Oreochromis niloticus: one gene and its partner. The protein of the gene in region 2 interacts with the protein of the main gene of each other region in a pairwise test. Links are inferred from orthologs where the notes say so. Each region holds a gene or a part of one and is shown on either strand. Other genes may lie near its edges. The genes, in order: rsph1 and morn3.

Region 1 (10,360 bases), on a different chromosome or scaffold from region 2:
TCAGTGAGGTATTAGTACTTTTTACTAAACAGCATAAAGGATCAATACACCTTCCCCCACCGCTGCCCCCTTAGTTTAGTTTTGATCTGCTTATCACAACGGAAATGTCACAAACATGAAATTACCCCCTCCAATTCTAAGGTCCTATGTTCTTGATGCTTTATGATGTCACCCTTTGGTTTGTTAAGCCATCTTCATTTTTATTGGTCCCAATTATTCATTTAATTTTATAGCACTGCTTTCACATGCTCACATCTGTATCTGCATCAAAATAAAACTTGTCTTCCTTATTTGCATCAAGAAAAAAATATATACCGAAACTTAATGCAAAATTAAAATCAACGAGGCTGTTCCAGGTGATCCTCCTGGAGGCACAGGCTCATAATGTGCTCATAATTTTGGTGATTTTTAAATTCTTTAACATACCGGTAATGTTAGTCGTCTACATTAGTCCAGGAAATTTAAAGCTGCAGGGAAAAACTATGATTTGCACAAGCGGGTGGTCCGGCACTGATTTAGGAAGCAACTGATTTGCTTTTGCTTTGCATTTTAACTGGTGAAGCATACATTTAAATATCAATCAATCATGCTTGCCCATGCAAAAATCATTATCGAAATTAAAATTTGATTAATTGTGCAGCCCTAAAACAAATATACAAACAATTACTTATTAAATGTTATCCTTTTACTGAACATTTTTTAAAGTTTTTAATGAACATTTTCAATGTTTTCAAATTCAAAATCTCTATGGTTGCTAGAAGATCGTTCTGTACGGGGTTCTGCTATCAGACAGTAGTTTTACAACTTTGTAGTTGTACAATCACGGCTTGCACATCACTGTTGAATTTCACCTGAAGTCTCTTTCCCAGGAATTCCTGTTGTTAGGCCTGTGACACATTTGGGAATCCACTTGAGAACAGTGGCAGAGGCCAGCCCATCCCACTCACCCTCAGCTCTGTCCTGGAAAGACTGGAGAGAGGACAAGATGAATCCTACAGATAGAAAATGCTCTAAGACAGAGGTTCCCAAAGTGTGGGGCCCGCCCCCTAGGGGGGCGCAGAGCCATTGCAGGGGGGGCGCGGTATGAAAAGAAAAGAAAAAAAAGAGCGCTTGGACACTGTGGACAGGTTTTTGACGGGGCTCCCACACAAACGCAAAGCAGGAGATGAAGCATCGCCAAATATGTTTCCAAACCAACTTTCTTCCAAGCCAAAGACAGGAAAATATGGTGAAGCATATCTTCCCTTTGGCTTCACCTGCACAAGTGCCAAGGTAGGTCTCCCCTGCAAAATTAGTTTCCCTGCGTCGGGAGCAGCGCTGGGCTCTCCAAATCACGGACAAACAGTATCCCACATTCTTGATTTTTAGTTCACAAACACTTCTTGTAATAACTAACTACTCCTGACATTTTGGACATGTTACTAACATGTCCAAAGCACGCGCTGTGCTCTCCAAATCACAAATCTGACATTTAATGTCAGGAGTAGTTAGTTATTACAAGAAGTGTTTGTGAACTAAAAATCAAGAATGTGGGATCCTGTTTGTCCGTGATTTGGAGAGCCCAGCGCTGCTCCCGACGCAGGGAAACTAATTTTGCAGGGGAGACCTACCTTGGCACTTGTGCAGGTGAAGCCAAAGGGAAGATATGCTTCACCATATTTTCTAGTCTTTGGCTTGGAAGGAAGTTGGTTTGGAAACATATTTGGCGATGCTTCATCTCCTACTTTGCGTTTGTGTGGGAGCCCCGTCAAAAATCTGTCCATTATGCTAGCATTGTCCAAGCTTTCTTTTTTTTCTTTTTCTTTTCATCCCGCGCCCCCCTGCAATGGCTCTGCGCCCCCCCCCTAGGGGGCGGGCCCCACACTTTGGGAACCACTGGATTATAAGCAGATTTAAAAACAATAAGGGCTGACCAAATTTATGTATCACTAAAAATAATAACTCAGAGCAAGACAAACAAAAGACAAAGTGAAAGTAAAGTATCAAAAACTAAGTCACATTTAAATGCAAGCGCGTAAATATGTGTCTTCAAGCAGGTTTTAAAGACAATTTAAAGAAGTGTTGGTGAGGTCTTGATTTGAAGAGGCAGACTGTTCAAAAGTGTACGTGCAACTACAGCAACGGCCTGGTCTCCTCTGTGCTTTAGTCTGCGTCTCAGAACAACCAGTAGCTGTGATTAGCTGACCTTAATGATCTATCCCATGACTTTTTTCCCCTTAATAAATGAAATCATTAAAAAAAAATTTTGTTAGTACATGGGCTAGCTTTGTCTGATACTGGTTCGATGATCTGAAAGTGTGAAAAAAATACTAGCTCAGGAAGGGGGTAAATATTTAACATCACTGTGTTTCTGTTCAAGTGAATTGTGTGGATGTGGAATTACCTGCTCTGCTTTCTGGTATTCTCCATGCTGCTCACAGCCGATGTCAAACACGTACTTCCCTGGCCCAAGCGGCTACAAAATTAAAACCGAAGATAATAAGGGAGAGAGGTACAGTCTTCCTCATTTACAATGACACAGATCCCAATGATATAAGAACTGATTGTTGTTTTTGTTGATTGACACTGAACACACCGATCTATGTCATTTTGGAACAGTGAGGCACAAAACAAAACACGGTGTACATAAGGCAAGAATGGAGCCAAGTAATGTAACTGTCTTTGTGGTTAAAAACAGAAAAATGAGTTGTTTTAAAATGGAAATCTGCCTAGTAAGGCTAGTAAATGGGCTTATCCACACCATTTGTTCTTCCTTAAAAAGTCCTTCTTATGACCCTTTGACCTTTTGATTACGTGATGAATGGCATGATCTTGATGGCTCTATGGAAGATGCACCTATCCTAAAGCCTCTACTTATATCAAAGTAGTAATGCTACAGTATACATACTTCCTGTAAAATTAGACTTTCACTGAAGTAAAAGTACAAATGTTCTGCATTAAAACATACTTCAAACTCTATAGAACTGTTAAATCATGCAGATAGCTGGAGATAATTCACTGTAGCTACAGCACACCATTATGTAGTAGTTTATGTTTTATATTAATCCAATTCTGCTAAATAGGAGTACAATAAAAAAGGAAAGTCCATTAAAGTGTTCCAGCTTGGAAAAGACTCACTGAAATCCCCACTAAGCACGGTGACTAATGAAGCCTCCAGGAAAATGGTTAACTTACTGCACAAATGATGTTGTCCCCTCACATAAATATACACACAGGTGCAATAAATAGAATGAATGATGCACTGAATTTAGGGGAATAAGGAGGGCGGTGTCATAAAAGAAATTTCTGTCACCAAAATCAATGAATAGTGATGACAAATAACACACACATAACTTAACAGTGTTCACAATAATCATGATAATCATCTTGGCCATTGCCACTTTTCACACCATGCACAGGCTACATTAAAACATATTCAGTATTTTGATTGATCATTGACCAATTTATGAAAATGTTATAAAAATAAAACTTACATAGTTGTTGATAAAGTTGCCCATGAATCTGTGGTTAGTATGGAGGTACTCTCCAGCTGACTCCATCTTGCCGTTCACCCAAGTGCCCTTGAACTTAGAGCCGGTTTCGTGGTAGTGATAAATGCCCTGTCCGTGCCTGGAAATCACACAACAGCAAAGACTCAAGTAGCTTTTAACGTATCTAGTTACAACTAACTTCAAAGTAAAAGCATGTCGGTGCTGGTTCAAAAAAGTTCAAACATCTGAGAAGTTAAAGACGTGGCATGCTTACAGCATTTCTGGGACTGCATTTCAACATGAAAAAAAGTCCTGCTCTCTAGAGTATTAATACTGTTGAATCAAAGTAAATTATTTAAACATAAAAAGCTGTAATATAAAGCCAGCCTTAATATAAACCCTGACTCCTTCTGCCATTACAAGTTGTTATAGCAATTGAGATTGCAGTTCTTGTGACATACCTCAAATTTTGCAGCCACTCTCCATCATAGGTGTCTTTGTTGGGGTAGGTGTAAACACCATGACCTTGTCTCATATCCTCAACCCACGACCCTGGCAGTCAGAAGAGGCAGTGGTAAGAGTTTAGCTTACTGAAACCAACATCAGAGCTTCAGCTGGCTTTAAAAACTATCTCAGGACTGCATAAAAAATAATTTTGACTGGTAGAAGTACACAGGACACTCATGTAAAGCAGATTTGCTATACCTTCATATTTGGACCCATCGGGATAGTAGAAGGTTCCCTGTCCATGTTTCATGTTCTGCTGGTAGTTCCCTACATATCTCGCCCCATTCTTGAAGCGATATGTCCCCTTATGGAGAAAGCGGTTATATATAAATATATATTAGTCCTTACCCGGGTAGCATCAGCGAAAAGCCTTAAATATTAAGAAGAATATGCTTTGGGACTAAATATTTAAATAAAATTGTAATTAGCAGTAAGAGAAAACTGCTTGAAACTGCTCGGCGTGTTCTCACGCACTGTCCACACTGTTATCTAATTTAGCAGCTTTTTCTATATCTAAAAGATAATGTCTTTATGCACTGATATACACATACATGCAGAATGTTCTTAGCTTTGGACTGCAGGGTTCCAGCTCAAACGTCCTACCTGTCCGTGTCTTCTCCCGTTCTGATAGTCTCCCTGATAAATGTCTCCGTTGGGCAGAATAGCTTTCCCGAATCCGTGCCTTTCTCCAGCTTCGTTTCTGCCTCCTTCATACTCCTGCTCGGGTAAAAACAAAAGAGGTTTTTACAAAGAGCTTTAGTTCAACGTCGTCAGCAAACACACTTAACACGATAATTATATTCTCTCACCCCGAGTTTATTTTGTTCATCCTCGAACTCATCAGATCCTACGTCAGACATGTTTCTGTTAGTTTCTGATCAACTGTGTTGTAGTTTTAGTTTAAACAGAAGCGCCCAAAACTGGGAAAATCCTGCACCTCTTTTAGCCTACTAGTTTATAGTTGCTATGACAACCGTCGGTCACGCGAGCTAAAGACCCAGACGCGCTCTTGCCTGAGAAGACTCTTGCGCAGTGTTGATGTTTATGTGTGTACTGGACGGCCGCAGCCACAAGAGGGCGCCCGGCTTTTTTCCAAGCTGAAAAAAAAAATACAGAACATCAACAGTGTCTGACAGTCTTGTTGTAAAGTGACAGGAAAAAGGGCTTGACACAGCATGTGAGAGCTACTGCACTGAAAGCTCGTTAACAATAATCTCAGTGGAAGGGTATGAGGTATTCCATATTACACAAGAACTGGACCAAAATCCAGTGACATCAAGTCCTCTGGAATGATAAATCCAAATGTAATTACATGGTTTTTTCCACATTGTCATCAACATGGACACAGGAGGTCAGAAGAGAGGTACAACAATACGACATCTGTTACATAAATAGTAATAATAAAAAATAATAATAATAATATAACAATGTATTGTAAGAAAATAATACTATGAAATACTAGTAATAACTGATATTAGTAATATTATGTAAAAAGTGGTCTTAAGGCCTCAGCTTCAGGCTGTTCATTACAGTTGTCATCATTATTACAGGTGAGAAAACTTGAAAGAAACTACAAGCTGTCTGCTCCCAAACAATTTTTACACCCCCTTCTGCAAGTACCACAAACCTGTCTATAATACAGTAACACTTACAGTAACACTTCTGTAACACTTAGAGCCATCAAGATCAATCTATTCATCACTGATGAAAGTATGCAATTAATGAATCCAAATGTACCAAAATTTAAAAAAATTATTTTCCCTCTAAATCTGCTTAGGTTTGAAGTAGATTACTTCACTAAAACATTTAACTTCACATGATGGGCATCAATCTGGTGTCTTTAAGAGAAAAAAAAAGAACCTGTGACATTGGCAGGTGCTGTGGTTTAACTATCACTGACAAGTAAAATAACATTCATTATAACGCTGCTTCAGTTAAATCACACAGCGCAGTAGTTATGCTGACTTATTTTAATAAAACATGTCAGACTTAGTTCAGTTTTGCTCTTTTAAAATCTGCTTCAAAGCTCCAACTGGCTTTTTTATGAACACACAATGAAAAAAAAATCCACAGCGTTTCAATAAACGATTCAATTTATGAAAAACATTTTTCTTGACATCTTGGTAATTAATTCTAGTTCAGTGTGTCCATCAAATGACACCAACATAATAAACTGAGTGACCTCTCCTTTGCAGCTCTTTATTTAGACAACTTGAACTTGTTTTGACATTAACTCATAAGCCCTGAGATTTTGCCATCTGTTGCATTAAAGATTAGAATGAACTCTGGTTGTAATCTGCTGCGTTCAGCTGTTCCTTCTGTGACTCAAGATAAGGTGCTGTTTAACATTTCTGAAGCAGGTATTCAATAACGTACATGCAAGTTATAATAAAGCCAAATGAAAGGCAGTTTGTGGCCATGGTGATAATCTCTGGCATCGTTGTCCCTTTGAGGACAGTTCCTAAGAATATCTCACTCCTGATTAATTCCTGAAACAATCCATATTTAAGAAAGGGGCAGCTAATACCTGGGTTCACCGGCTGCTTGTTCGAGATTTAGCGCCTCACTTGTCAATTTATATCCATCTAATCTCCCTCTCATGACGCTGTTACTGGTTTTTAAAATAAGTGACAGTTTAACAGCCTATTATGACCCGTTTCCTTGGCATGATTAAACACCTGGCACCATCTGCCTGCATACAGAAACATTATACCAGTTATGTTAAAATGTTGACGTATCTGATGTAGCTAAAGTTGCTCAGCACAACCTAGTTAAAATAAAAGTTATACATTGATTTGCATGCCCAAGCAAAACATGACTTGTGGAGAAATCCTTGTTGGCAAGCACAGCGGGAGTTTGTCACTAGGTTGGTGCACATCTCAGGAGGGGCTTTGGGACACTTTCTTTACAGAAACTCTTAATCTTTTAGTTTTTCTGGTTGGCGCTTGGGAGCTCCTTCCATAGATTCTCTATAAGATTGAGGCCTGGAGACTGGTAAGGTCACTCATGACCTTTTCTTTTTAGTAGTCTTGACCATAGGTTTTGGGTTATCATCATGCTGGAAGACCCCTCTGCAGTGTTCTGGCTGAGGGAAGGCAGTTCTCATCCACTTTTGTGGTAAATGTCCCTGTATATTAATCCTGTATCTTTATCAGAAAATAGACTCAAAGGAAGTTTCCACCTCCATGCTTGACCGTGGGGATGGTGTTCTTTAGGTCATACTCAGCATTTCTCTTCCCCCAAACACAGCAGGTCAAGTTTATGCCAAAGAACTTGTAGTTCTTCTATGTGTTTCTTCTCAGTTGTGCTTGCTATCCTGTCTCTCTCCATTAAAATGAAACTACCATAAAAATGAGAGACTACTCATTTCTTTGTAAGTGAGCAAAAGCACAAATTTAGCACGAGATCGAAGAATTAAATCCTCCACTGTATACCCTCTGATCTCAGCCAGAATGGACATATTTTTCATGAGGTTTCTTAATAGTCAATAAAATGTCTTTCAAAACTTTTTTGCATTTTTTAATGTACTATCAAGGTTAAAAAATAAATAAATTTAAAGCTAAGGCAACCTCTTTCTGCACTAAAGTGACATTGGGGTTTTCTTTGTTTCTGTTGCATCTGTCTTCAAGTGTCTCTCAGACATGATTCTTTGGGACAGGAAAAAAAGAAGCCTCAGAATCTCTAATGTGACCGTTAGTCCACTGTAATCTCTAAAGCCATCCCAGAAGGATCCTGCAGGAATTTCTATTTAGGGCTTTATCAGCTATGACTTTATTTATAAGCCTGTCATGACTATCAGAAGTGTCACCGCGCACCATTAATGGTACATTTCAAAACAATAAGCTTTGGAGACAGGGTAGTGAAAAATACATTTTGTTACATTGTTCTGAAGACAGAAATCCTTGCCATGACATACGAAGTGTATTCACCATATGAATTTTTGAAATATGTAAAAATGTAACAAAATCAAGACATAAAATAAAACACAGTTTTACACTTTTTTTAATATTATTGTTTCATGACTTTATTTGTGAAAAAAATTGTGATACCACACTCATGTTCATCTGAAACTGGAAAATTAATACACACACAAACACACACACAATAGAAACCGTAGAAAATTTTTCAGTCAGCTATGCGTTCTAATGAGCAGTGCCAAATCCATTTCTAAATTTCACATAAGTAAAAAGTTAGCTTACAATATTTTACTCTTAATGTCTTGAATTGGATAAAAAAACAAAAAGTAAACTAAACAAAAATCTACACCCTCTTTTCTAAAGTTTTACTCATAAGGACATAATAAAAATCATTTGGTTCTTAACATGTCTTAATATTAGATCCTTATACAAATACATCATCAATCATTATTTGTTTAATAAAAAAGTAACCCTCACTGCTTCCATATGAATTAGGAAGAATTAAGAGTAGTAGTAAGTATCAGGTGATGCTTGTACTTGCAGATTGCTGCTTGAGCCTGGTTCTGCTGGAGGTTTCTTCCTGTTAAAAGGGAGTTTTTCTTTCCTACTGTCACCAAGTGCTTGCTTAAAAGGGCTCATTTGATTGTTGGGGTTTAGTCTGTATTTTGTAGTGTATTGCACACACACACACATTCCAGTTGTAAAATAAAATCAAAATTCTCATAATTTTCAGTAATGAGATTTGACTTGAGCAGTGACTGCTTTGCGTTTAATAACTTTGTGTACCATCAACTATTACTGGCTTCCAAATGCATTCTTTGAGCTTAAATTGTTCAAGAGCTGCTTTTAAGTCTAGACACATCCTTAATGTCAAATCCAGTTATAATCTTGGAGATCAATGCCCAAGATAACAAACACTTGGAAAGTTTATCATCTGTGTGAGCTGTATCTCTGGCAGAGGTCACCCTCCTTTGGCATTCATTCTTTTCTTGAGCTGCAGTTGCTCCACAGCGCGGATTTATAACAAAAGCTCAGCACCAACTGCATGACATCACATGCCAAGCTAATCACTTTTCTCCACCCATGTTCAATGGGGGATTTGACCTAAATATAGTTGTTTGCTGTCTATGCTAATGCATGTTATAAAAGCAGTAACTGCCAACTCTTTGGACGTTTTTCTGTTTCATTGTCTTCTGGCTGTGACGGCTACTGACTTAACCAGCAGGAGCTCTGATTCAGGTGTGTCTAGGAGGAGCCATACGCAGATTTTCTGGGGTAAGATTTGATCAGGATGATGATCAAATTCATTAATAGATCATCATTCTAACATTAACCCTGGATCTTTTAGTCCCCTGGGGTGTACACTGCAGAGATGAGTTCAGACGCTGACATGGCTGTTTTTGGGGAGGCCGCTCCATATCTGAGGAGACCTGAACGAGAGAGGATTGAAGCTCAGAACAAGCCCTTTGATGCCAAAACTGCAGTGTTTGTGGCAGATCCAAAGGAGCTCTTTGTTAAAGGCACATTGCAAAGCAAAGAGGGTGGCAAAGCGACTGTTAAAACTCTGTCAGGACAGGTACATCTGCTCTATGTATCTCTATACTGGAGATTTATAGGCCACGTTGGCACATTTTATTTAGTTTGTCCACTGATGAGCTTTTTAATGTACTTTACATTACAGAAGTAATATAGAGAGCAGGCACTAACTTCATATATTCTTAATGACAGTGTCTTTTCTTACCATCACAGGTTGTAACAGTGAAGGAAGATGAAATCTTCCCTATGAACCCACCCAAGTTTGATAAGATTGAGGACATGGCCATGATGACACACCTTAATGAGGCGGCTGTGCTGTATAACCTCAAAGAGCGTTACGCAGCTTGGATGATCTATGTGAGTACTGCACTATTTAGATATTGTGGTCATTCCCAGACAATGCCTGACAAGCTGCTGCTCAACTGAAGCATGCAGACCAACAGCAGAGGTGCAGTCAGCTGAGGGTTTATTTGGTCTGACAGTAGCTACTTTTTCTTTTCTTTTTGTCTTTTTTTTCCTCTTTGAGGTTATAGAAAAAGTCTAGGGAAGTGTATACCTAGATCTATCCTTGAGTATCTTCCTGGACAAGTGAGCCTATTCTATTTTTCAAGAAGTGTTATAAATGAAACTAAACATAAATTTTCATTATTTGCAGGCCAAATGCAAGTTCACTGGCAGACAGACTTAAGCAAAAAGCAAACTTCATTCGGGCTGATCTCAGAGTCCAGAATTGCACCATCCATTACAAGTTGAGGAAACCAAAATTCACAAAACTTCAGAAACAGACAACAGGCTTCAGAAACTTGGACAAAGAATGAGGGAAGGACAACCTTATCTATACATAGGACACAGCAAAGTAACAAGAAGCAAGTGAAGATAATCAAAGACAATGTGTCACGAGGGGAAGTAAAATCAAATGTTAAGCATAAA
Region 2 (9,723 bases):
ATCAAAGTATAATGAAAAAGTTGGGGGTGTTTTATTTCTAAAGGGGAAAACATATTACACTTATGGTGACATTTTAAGTATTTTTTGTTTTCATTTTGATGAGTATGGCTTGTAGCTTATGAAAACCTTAAATCCAGTCTCCTGAGTTGGCTGACCACTCATACACAGTAACGGCAGAGTCAGCAAACCTTGTAGTAGTACCTTTAGCTCTGTGGGAAGGGTCTGAGTCCTGCTGGAAAAGAAAATTGGCATCTCCTTAAAGCTTGTCAGCAGATGGAAGCATGCAGAGCACTGGAAAACCCTGGCAGACATCTGTGTTGATTTTGGAGTTGATGTAAAACACAGGGGACAGACCAGATAACACGGCACCCCAAATCACCACAGACTGCACAAACTTCACACTGGATTTCAGACTCTATGGATCCTGCACTTCACAGTTCTTCCTCCAAACCTTTAAGACTGTGATTTTCAAACAAAATGCAACATTTGTTTTGTCTTAAAAGAGAACTTTGGACCGCTAAGCAAATTTCGTTCTTCATCTTTAGCCCAGGTATGACGTTTGCGATGCCTCTGCTTCAGGAGTGCCTGGATAGCACTTCCTGAGTCAGCTGTTTTTGACAATCCTCTCAATCACGTGATTATCTCTTTTGCACCTTTTCTTGCCACACTTGCAGTCAACTTTTTAAATCCTGTGATGCAGCACTCTCGAGAACAGCCAGCCTTTTCAACAATGACTTCCTGTGGCTCACTGTTCATGCGCAGTGATGATCATCATCATCTAGTCAACTGTCAAGTCAGCAGTCGTCCACATGATTGTGGTTGGTGGTATTGAACTAAACTGTGAGATACACTGTATTTATACTGTTTAAATATTAATTTACTCAAACTCAAAATTAAATATTCTAATAATTTTAGATACGGGATTCTTGATTTTCATCTATATTCCATAATCACCAAAATTAAGAAAAAAGAATATAGAATAATGTGAAATTTTATCTTTTTGTATTTCTTTGAGAGGCAGTACTATTATTCAAGGTTTAGATGTGGTAAACATAGCATAAGATCATCCTCTTACAGACTGGTTGTTAGGAATAGTGTTTTATTCTTAGGACAACTATACAAACTATAAACAGAACAAAGCATGACTGCTTTCTACTGAATAATGTGGCTTGTGTGTCAGTTACAAGTTCTCAAGGGTTTACACACTCAAGGCTAAAGTGTGATCAGACACCATATGACAAACAGATGGATGTGTAACACTGAATTTATCATATGACAATCTCTTTTAATTTGTATTAAGTCATCCAACATAGTGTTTTCAATCTTAAGAGGTATATATGTAAAATCTGATGAGGCATTTTTTTCCCTTTATGATCAATTATTATACACGTTTAATTGGCAACAGATAAATTTGTCACATTAATGGATGATTAAAGGATTTTGCCCCTCTGACAAGGACAAATAATCTGTGTGACAAAAGGGACACACACTGAAAACTCATTATGCTTTTTTAAAATTCTTTATCAGCAAGCATGTGGTGAAGTGGAAACTTGCTCTTGATCCTCTTGTTGTTTATCAGAACTGGCCAAGGTAAGCTGATTCGGCTTCCCTTAAAACCAGCTGTGGATCGATCAGGTGTACCTGAAAATAGAAGATAAGTCCACGCTTTCATGCACAGTAGTACAAATGGAGCAGGGCTTTGTTGTCAGTGCTTATATGATTATGTCATGTAAGCAGTGTAATGTAATTAGTCGTGTAATTTAATTTTGATGCATGGCTGTAACAGTCAGTTGCAACACTGTACCTTTGGAATCTGACATTTTGCAGGCATTGGTGCTCCATCTCTCCCAAAATCAGACAGGGTCCCACATTTTGGCACTCCATCCACCCAAAGGCCTTCATACAGCTGGCCTTTGTCACAGTAGTAGAACTTTCCACGACCATCCTTCTTGCCCTCTCGCCAGCTACCTTCATATCTGTTTCCATTTGCTTAAACAGAAATTAGAAAGTCATATTATAACATCCAAATTATAATCTAGTTTCGATGTACATGCATGTATAGAAAATTTTCTCTTACAAAATATAATGATTCCTTCTCCATGATTCTTATCCTTCAGCCACTTGCCCTCATAGATGTCTCCATTTGCATAGTACATCCTTCCCCAGCCACTCCGTTGGTCCTCGCTCCACTCCCCCTCGTACACTGATGAGTTATTGTAAAAGTATGTGCCATACCCCTGAGAAGGTGGACAAATACATGACTGACCATACATACCGATATGTCTTTCAGCGTGCATGTGAAACATTATGTCACATACATACATCCTTCTTTCCATCTGTCCATTCACCACAGTACTTCTTCACATACTTCTTTGATCCTGGGAGTAACACGCTGTAGGTACCATACCCGTCACGTTTTCCAAATTTCCACTCTCCATCATAAATGGCACCAGACTTCTTCCAAACCTGAGTTCCCTTGCCTTATAGAAATAAATAAACAAACAAGCAAACATGACAGCTGCACTACTTCAAACCTCTCAGGAGTTGAGTGGAAGCTGACGAAAAACTATATCTCACCATGCTTCTTATTGTTCTGCCACTCCCCGGTGTATTCGTTTCCACTGGGTGAGAAAACTGTGTGCCGCAGTCCACATTTCTGTGACTTAATGTCCAGCAGTGTTGACAATGAGGGAGTAGTTGGAGGTCTTTTGAGAAATGGCATTGCTGGTGGTAGCTTGATGAAACCTGTAAGCATTAGAATGAAATAAAAAAAAACAACAAAAAAAACATGGTCAGTCTGTCACTGGTCCTGTGACAGACTGGCGACCTGTCCAGGGTGTACCCCGCCTCCCGCCCTATGACAGCTGGGATAGGCTCCAGCACCCCCCGCGACCCTGAAAAGGATAAGCGGAAGCGAATGGATGGATGAATGGGTGGAAAAACAAAACATGTTTGCTGTCCTTCTGCCACTGAAAATGGAAACAAATATTTTTTTTATTTGTAGTTTTTTGCCATCCATAAGTCAAAATTTAAAGTTATTATCTCAAAATCCCGACTTAGTGACTCAAAATTTAAAATTATTTTCTCATGTTTAAGTTAGTAAATTGATATTTTATTTTTTTTGACTTGATAGATGGCTAAAAAATGTTTTGTTAGTGGCACAAACAAGCTGCCATACCCATTAAGCAGTACATGTCACCAAATTCATACAACAGAAAAAACACTGCCCTTCTTTGAAGAGTTGACAGTATTTTAAACTGTCACTCACAACACTGTAATTTATTATTTAGAAAAGTAGCCACACGGTCATCTAAGGAAACTAGTTAAGCTCTCCAGCTTAGTTAGCATTACAGGTAAAATAGAAAAGTAGAAAAGCAAAAAAGCAAAGTAATTGTACCTTTGCGGTGTTTCCAAGCGGATCACTTACTGAAACTGAATCCGCTTGCAAACTTAGCCAAACAAAAGCCATCAATTTAACGAGGAAATTAAGAAAACATGTTACTAGCCGTACACAACTTCAATGCTGACCAGCAGCAGCAGGAGAGCAAGTTTGTATGCTGTATCCTAGCAACAGCAATGTGTACAGTTATTGGTGCCTTATAAATGTAATTGAGAGGCCATTTAAAAATTTGAGTTGAACGTGTCTGGATGTCATTTTTGATCCACAAGTCTTTTTTTTTTTTAATCTGCCGTTAGTTTCTTTTATTTACTACTTGATGGCTTCATCCGTTGTAAACCACGACGTTTGGTTGTGACGGCGGTTTACGAAGTGCGCATGCTCTACACAGGACAGTTAAAACTCGCCTGAGTGGCCGGAGCAGGAGCAGCCCGTGGGTGAAAAGCCTTGTGGAAGAGTCTTCTTCGCTGAATAAGCTACAACACTGCAATGTCCAAGCCGAGGTTTCAGGCGGAGTGGGAGGAAATTGATGAGGAATATCAACAATTACAGGTGACTGAAAACTCTTTAACGAGTATAGTATCATTTGTGCTAGGTTAGGAGGAGGAGTAGTGTGGCGTCGAGACATGCAGGGGCTGTAGCAGTTTGTCTGTCTCTTTCCTATTCGTCATTCATTCTCAGGTCATCCGTAAACCCAGCATCTAGCCAATAAGTGCGCTGTTGGCAGCAGTATCCGAGGGATGCAATATATTTGCCGTGCGTTTATATTTTATCTTACTTTACTGTAACATCGCTGTGTTGCAACCGCTAACATTAGCAACAGTCTTCTTGGGGCTAGGGTGCTTTGCTGCGAATAAGCTGCTACAGTAAGTTAGCTAACCGCACAATGCATTGTTGTCCTATTTATTAATGTTAAATCACTGCTACCGAAGTTGAGGCAGAGGTTAAAGTGGCTTCACAAAGTAGCTTCTGGGTCTTTTGGCTTGGGTGATTTATTTAGGAGTCCTTAAGGGCATCAGCAGCCATCGTGAAGTTGACACGCTAGCTCACGTTAGCCATAGTTGGCTAACTTGGAACAAAATGAAGATAAGAAACTGTATTATTCACCTAAAATCTCTGTTTCTGTGACACCTCACAGTTTATGCACACGTGGATCTGAAGCTGAGCAGAAACCGCTTCCCGTTTATATTATAGCTGTTATATTTCAGCTTTATTTACCTCTTTCAAACAGCTGCAGTTCTTTAGAGAATTTTAAAACACAACTTTAAACAAATGTGACAAATTTTGAAACTCTAAAAGAAAAATGTTGTAAATGGTTAAGACGTACCGAAATATTGAGCCCACTTCAATTACAAAACATAAGTCAAGGTTTGTTTTTTGTTTTGTTTTTTTAAGTGTCCACTGAGATGGAGTTATTCACCTCCACACACTGGGGCCACGATGGCTAAAAGCTGATTCCTCCTGTGTGTATTGATCTTGGGAACAGAAGGCCAGCTGCATAGCATCTGAGTTATCTGTTTATCTGTATATGATGATTATATGATCTCTGAGAGAGAGACTGGTGCCAGACCCATAGAGGGATTTAAAACAGATGTTACATTGTTTTCATGTCAGTTTGAATGAACGCATACTTAGATCATGTGCTCAGTACTGGCTGACTGGTATAACCCATCCTTTTAACAGGTCATGTGCACCTCATCATAACTGATGTCAGAAAATGGTCATGTGATAAAACAAAGATTGCAGAAACACAATGAATGACGGCTGCATGTAGATTGCTTTCTTTTTCCTGTTAAATACTGGGAAGATCTCCCTACTTTTTGTGATGTAGCTAACTTTGAAATATTTCACCATGAGGACAAGTATTAAACCAATTACTATGTTCTCTTGAAGAGATCAGTCCTGCTTTTTGTGGTTTCCTATGATGGTGTGCTTAATGAGTAAAAGAGTGGGACAGGAAAGGTGTGCCGATTCAGAACCACTGGTTCACGTGTAGGTGATGAACAAAGACAAAAGGTATAAGCTCAGCCTTGAGGAAGATAACCTTTGGGTGATTAGATCTGAACCTGTGAGGTATGGAGGTACAACAAAGGGAGTTCAACTGGCTCTAAGGGGGATAGGAATCTGACCCCTGATTAGCAAACTCGCATGTGGTTTACATATATAACAATAGGATCTGCTTACGGGGACTGTTTCACTGAAGAACAGCGTATTAAAGGGTCAAAGATTCAGAGGATAGTGAGTCTCTCTCAGCATGAATGGATGAATGAACTTTTATTGTCATTATACATAGGCAAACTTTCATTGTACTTTCTCAGGATTAAAATGACAATAAATGAACAGAATGAGTAAATACATAGGATGAATAAAAATGGGTACGTAATTAATGATAAAAGAACTTAGAAGCATGAATATATATGGATGTGTCATCAGTTTTCAGTGTTTAGTCCAGGACATTTTTCTTTACATTTTGGGAGTCTACTAATTGTTTGAACTGTAGTTCGTGTTTCCCAATGATGTAATTTACTCCTAATTTAGAATTGTTTTTGAAGCTTTCAGGTAAAAGACAGACACAGTAGCTGTAATTTAAACGTGTGTGTGTGTATATATATATATCAGATGCTTCATCCTTTTTGATGGGGACAAAGTGATGACAGTGTAGCTACGAATGCAAGTAAACCTGAGTGATTAATTTGTGGCTGTATTCATCTTTAAGTCCTAGCTGGTTGTGCTTAATCCTCATTTCTGCGTGTCAGCAGATGTTTCTAACCAGACATGTATTTAATTTATTCACAGGAAACTCACAAAATATACCGACAAAAACTGGAAGAGCTCACCAGTCTTCAAGCAACTTGCAGCAACGCCATCAGTAAACAGAGGAAATGTCTGAAAGACTTGAGGCACAGTTTAACCAAGTAAGTACACCTGCTATTAAAGTAGTCAAGCAAGTAGTCGATGGATTCCCACAACTAAAATAAGCACTTAAATTATCTGGTTTCGATTTCAGTGATATCATGGAGGATGAAAAATATCCTTCGTCTTTTCTCATTTTGCCCTTCTGCTTTCGTTACAGGTGTGCACAGACGTGTGATGAGAAAGAGCTGAAACTAATAACTGACATCAAAACGCAAATAAAAGATAAAGAAAATGTTTTCTTTGACATGGAAGCATATTTGCCAAAGAAAAATGGGTGAGAACTATTTGTTGTCAGTGAGAGATCTGCTGTAATCACTAAGCTTTATTTCGTTAACTTGCATTTTTTTTCCGTTTTAAGACTATACTTGAATTTGGTCCTGGGCAACGTGAATGTAACACTTCTCAGCAACCAGGCAAAGTATGTATCACCTTTTAGCCTCAAAAGCAGGTTCAGGCTGTGGGTTCAGATTGGTTTTTATGTCAGTCTCTTATCATCTCTTTGTTCCGTTTATGCGCACAGATTTGCCTACAAAGACGAGTATGAGAAGTTCAAGCTTTGCATGACAATAATCCTGATGTTCGGAGCAATAACCTGCCTCTTCTTTCTAAACTGTCGGTGAGAGAACCTCCCTCCCCTCGAAGCATGACTGATGGTGTTATCTTATTAAGGATTGGCTTCTTATTTGATGTTTTCTGCCTTGTTTAGGGTCACTGATGAAATCTTCAACTTTTTGTTGGTGTGGTACTACTGCACATTGACCATAAGGGAAAGCATCCTCATAAACAACGGCTCCAGGTGTGTTGCTACTATCAGAGGATTTATCCTTTAGTGGGCTATTTTTAAATTAAAGCCTTTGTCTACGGAAGATTTTTAGTTGGGAAAATTTTCAAGTTCCTCCTTTTTTCTTTTCAGGATCAAAGGGTGGTGGGTGTCTCACCATTATGTCTCCACCTTCTTGTCAGGTGTTATGCTGACATGGTGAGATATTGTCTTTGTTGATTCAGCATCATGTTGTTTTTATTTTGGGAAATGTGAATGAGTTCTTTTCTTTCCTCAGGCCAGAAGGACCAATGTATCAGATGTTCAGGAGCCAGTTTCTTGCCTTCTCCATCTATCAAAGTAAGATGTATCCAAATTGGCTTATTTACGTACACTCACTGGCCACTTTATTAGATACAGATGTTAGTACCAGGTTGGGAACCCTTTTGCGTTCAGGGCAGAATTCTTCATGGCATCTATGGTTCAATAAGGTCCTCGAAACATTTGGTCCGTATTGACAGTTGTTGCAGATTTGTCAGCTTCACATACATAATGCAAAACTTCAGTTCCAATAAATCACAAAGGTCCTCTATTAGACTGAGATCTGATGACTTTGGAGGTAATCTGAGTAGAGTGAACTCATAGTGATGTTCAAGAAACCAGTTTGAGGTTATTTGAGCTTTCACATGGGGTGCTGTCTCGTTTTTGGACCATCTTCTGTAAACCCTAGAGATGGTCATGTGGGGGAAATCACAGCAGCTGAGTAGTTTATGAAATACTCAGACAAGCTCGTCTGGCAGAAACAACCATGCCATAGTCAAAGGCTCTTAAACCTCTCATCTTTCCTGATTCTGCTGCTCAGAACTTCAGCAGGTATTCTTCTGTTTTTCCGACTCTCCTGCCAACGCTTCATTAAAGCAACAGTTCAAGATTTAATAGCTCAAAGTCCAACCTAAACAGCTCAGTTACATTATGACGACAGAGCAATCCAGGCACACCACTGAAAAGTATAGATGAAATACAGTACTAAAAGTACTTAGGGTTGACTTAAACCTCAGTTTAAAAAAGGGGTTTTAAGCATGAAAGCCTTTGCTGTTTGTTATAAGGAACCTAATAACAAATAATCCATTTCACATAGAGCTGGGCGATATAAGATTTTTTTCATATCACGATATGTTTTTTCATTTCAGGCGATAACGATATATATCACGATATAAGCCAAATAACTATATTTGTAAGATTTAAATGTGCCGTTGCTCAAAAGTAAAATGTGAAATAATCTGCAGCTTGTTTTGATTTAAATATTTATTTCCCATAATAAGTTCAACAGGGCAGATGTACTTAAGGAACATAAGACTTCAGTTTTAGATAAATAAAGGCAAATATTGCAAACTACACAAAACGCAGCCGCTAAAGCATTTAAGTTTCAAAATAGAACAAACAAAACAAACTACTAAATTGTCAATTCCACTTAGAAACAAAATATTAATTCTAAAAATAAATCTTAGTTTGTTTTACAGAAGAACAGACAAAATTGACTAACTTTTGTCAATATCAAATAAACTGAGAACTAAAAGGAAATTCTCAATCTCTCCTTGTTGTATAGCTTAGCTTTTCAAACAGTTTTAACAGTTACTTTAGTCTGACAAAAGCCGAATGACGAATTAGCGTTTTCAGTCAGAGATTGAGCATGCACCGCTTTATTGTATTTCCAGACTTGCTTTCAGCACAATTTACAGTGCGCGCTACTCTGTTTTTTGTCAGACTTGAAATAGCCGAAATACCTTCACACTACGGAACTTCTGTGGCCCTTCCGTTCGACAGTCTCTCCGGCATTGGAACCATCATCGGTTTTCTTTTCGGTAACCTTCGCTCACGCTCTCGGTTGACTTTTCTCTAGTCGGCAAACTCATTTCCTTCATTACCCGGGCGGCCCGGCTGCAAAAACAAATACACATGTGCGCCTTGGCACTTGTGCTGTACATAACAAGTCGCGTGACGTGACGCTGTGGCTGTGATTGGTTCGGCTCTGCTACTTCATTTGGATTGGGTGTTCTTTTTTTCTTTTTTTTAAGAGGACAAGAGAGATGAGGCCTATCGCAATAGTTTAATTTTTCTATCGAGAAAAAGTTATTTCGCAATACATATCGTTATCGTTTTATCGCCCAGCTCTAATTTCACATGGTTTTCTGTTGTGTTGTCAAACATTGCCACACTTCATCGCATTTGAGGCACCAAGCTGTCACAGTGCCAAATAAATGACTACCAATTGGATCAATAGTTGGCAATATGGGTGTCTTCCTGGAGACGGATACAAATATATTTTGATTATTCAAATTTGTGGAAGTAAACAAAAAGAAATGTAAAAAAGCAAATTGTCAGACTGGTGCTTCTATCACATTTTATTTGACTTTTGTGATATTTAATGGATGAAAATAATATTTTCTGCCCTTCATCCAATTAATGAGTAAAACTGTGCATGGAGAGAGAAGATGCACTTGAGCTAAAGGTCTAAAATCTGGGATTTTAATTTAAAAAAACAAGAGAGAGAGAGACACACACAGACACACATTCTGTAAATCAAAGGTCTAGTTGAGGACCCAGAGAGGGAAGAACAAACTTCAGATGCTTTCATCATTATTTTCCCTCG

The links.
Region 1: the proteins of morn3 (region 2) and rsph1 interact in binary tests that used the Homo sapiens proteins (3 or more experiments, as listed by UniProt). The two-hybrid records come from large-scale screens. The link is inferred for Oreochromis niloticus from reciprocal best matches to the Homo sapiens genes MORN3 and RSPH1.

The regions. Positions count from the first base shown.
Region 1 is NC_031973.2:26,131,861-26,142,220, reverse strand, and holds the start of rsph1 (radial spoke head 1 homolog), read right to left. Parts: upstream 4,964-10,360; 5' UTR 4,838-4,963; coding exon 4,787-4,837; intron 4,695-4,786; coding exon 4,581-4,694; intron 4,282-4,580; coding exon 4,176-4,281; intron 4,023-4,175; coding exon 3,932-4,022; intron 3,610-3,931; coding exon 3,474-3,609; intron 2,456-3,473; coding exon 2,384-2,455; intron 970-2,383; coding exon 835-969; 3' UTR 1-834. Other genes in the region: myosin heavy chain, fast skeletal muscle, read left to right, coding at 9,267-9,470, 9,644-9,787.
Region 2 is NC_031972.2:22,383,371-22,393,093, reverse strand, and holds morn3 (MORN repeat-containing protein 3), read right to left. Parts: upstream 3,887-9,723; 5' UTR 3,805-3,886; intron 3,663-3,804; exon of another isoform or gene 3,398-3,662; intron 2,746-3,397; 5' UTR 2,723-2,745; coding exon 2,578-2,722; intron 2,481-2,577; coding exon 2,323-2,480; intron 2,238-2,322; coding exon 2,078-2,237; intron 1,990-2,077; coding exon 1,805-1,989; intron 1,642-1,804; coding exon 1,576-1,641; 3' UTR 1,086-1,575; downstream 1-1,085. Other genes in the region: tmem120b (transmembrane protein 120B), read left to right, coding at 3,887-3,949, 6,194-6,312, 6,471-6,587, 6,672-6,731, 6,834-6,929, 7,020-7,109, 7,227-7,292, 7,372-7,433. UniProt on the Homo sapiens protein: Assembles a suppression complex (suppresome) by tethering SIRT1 and MDM2 to regulate composite modifications of p53/TP53.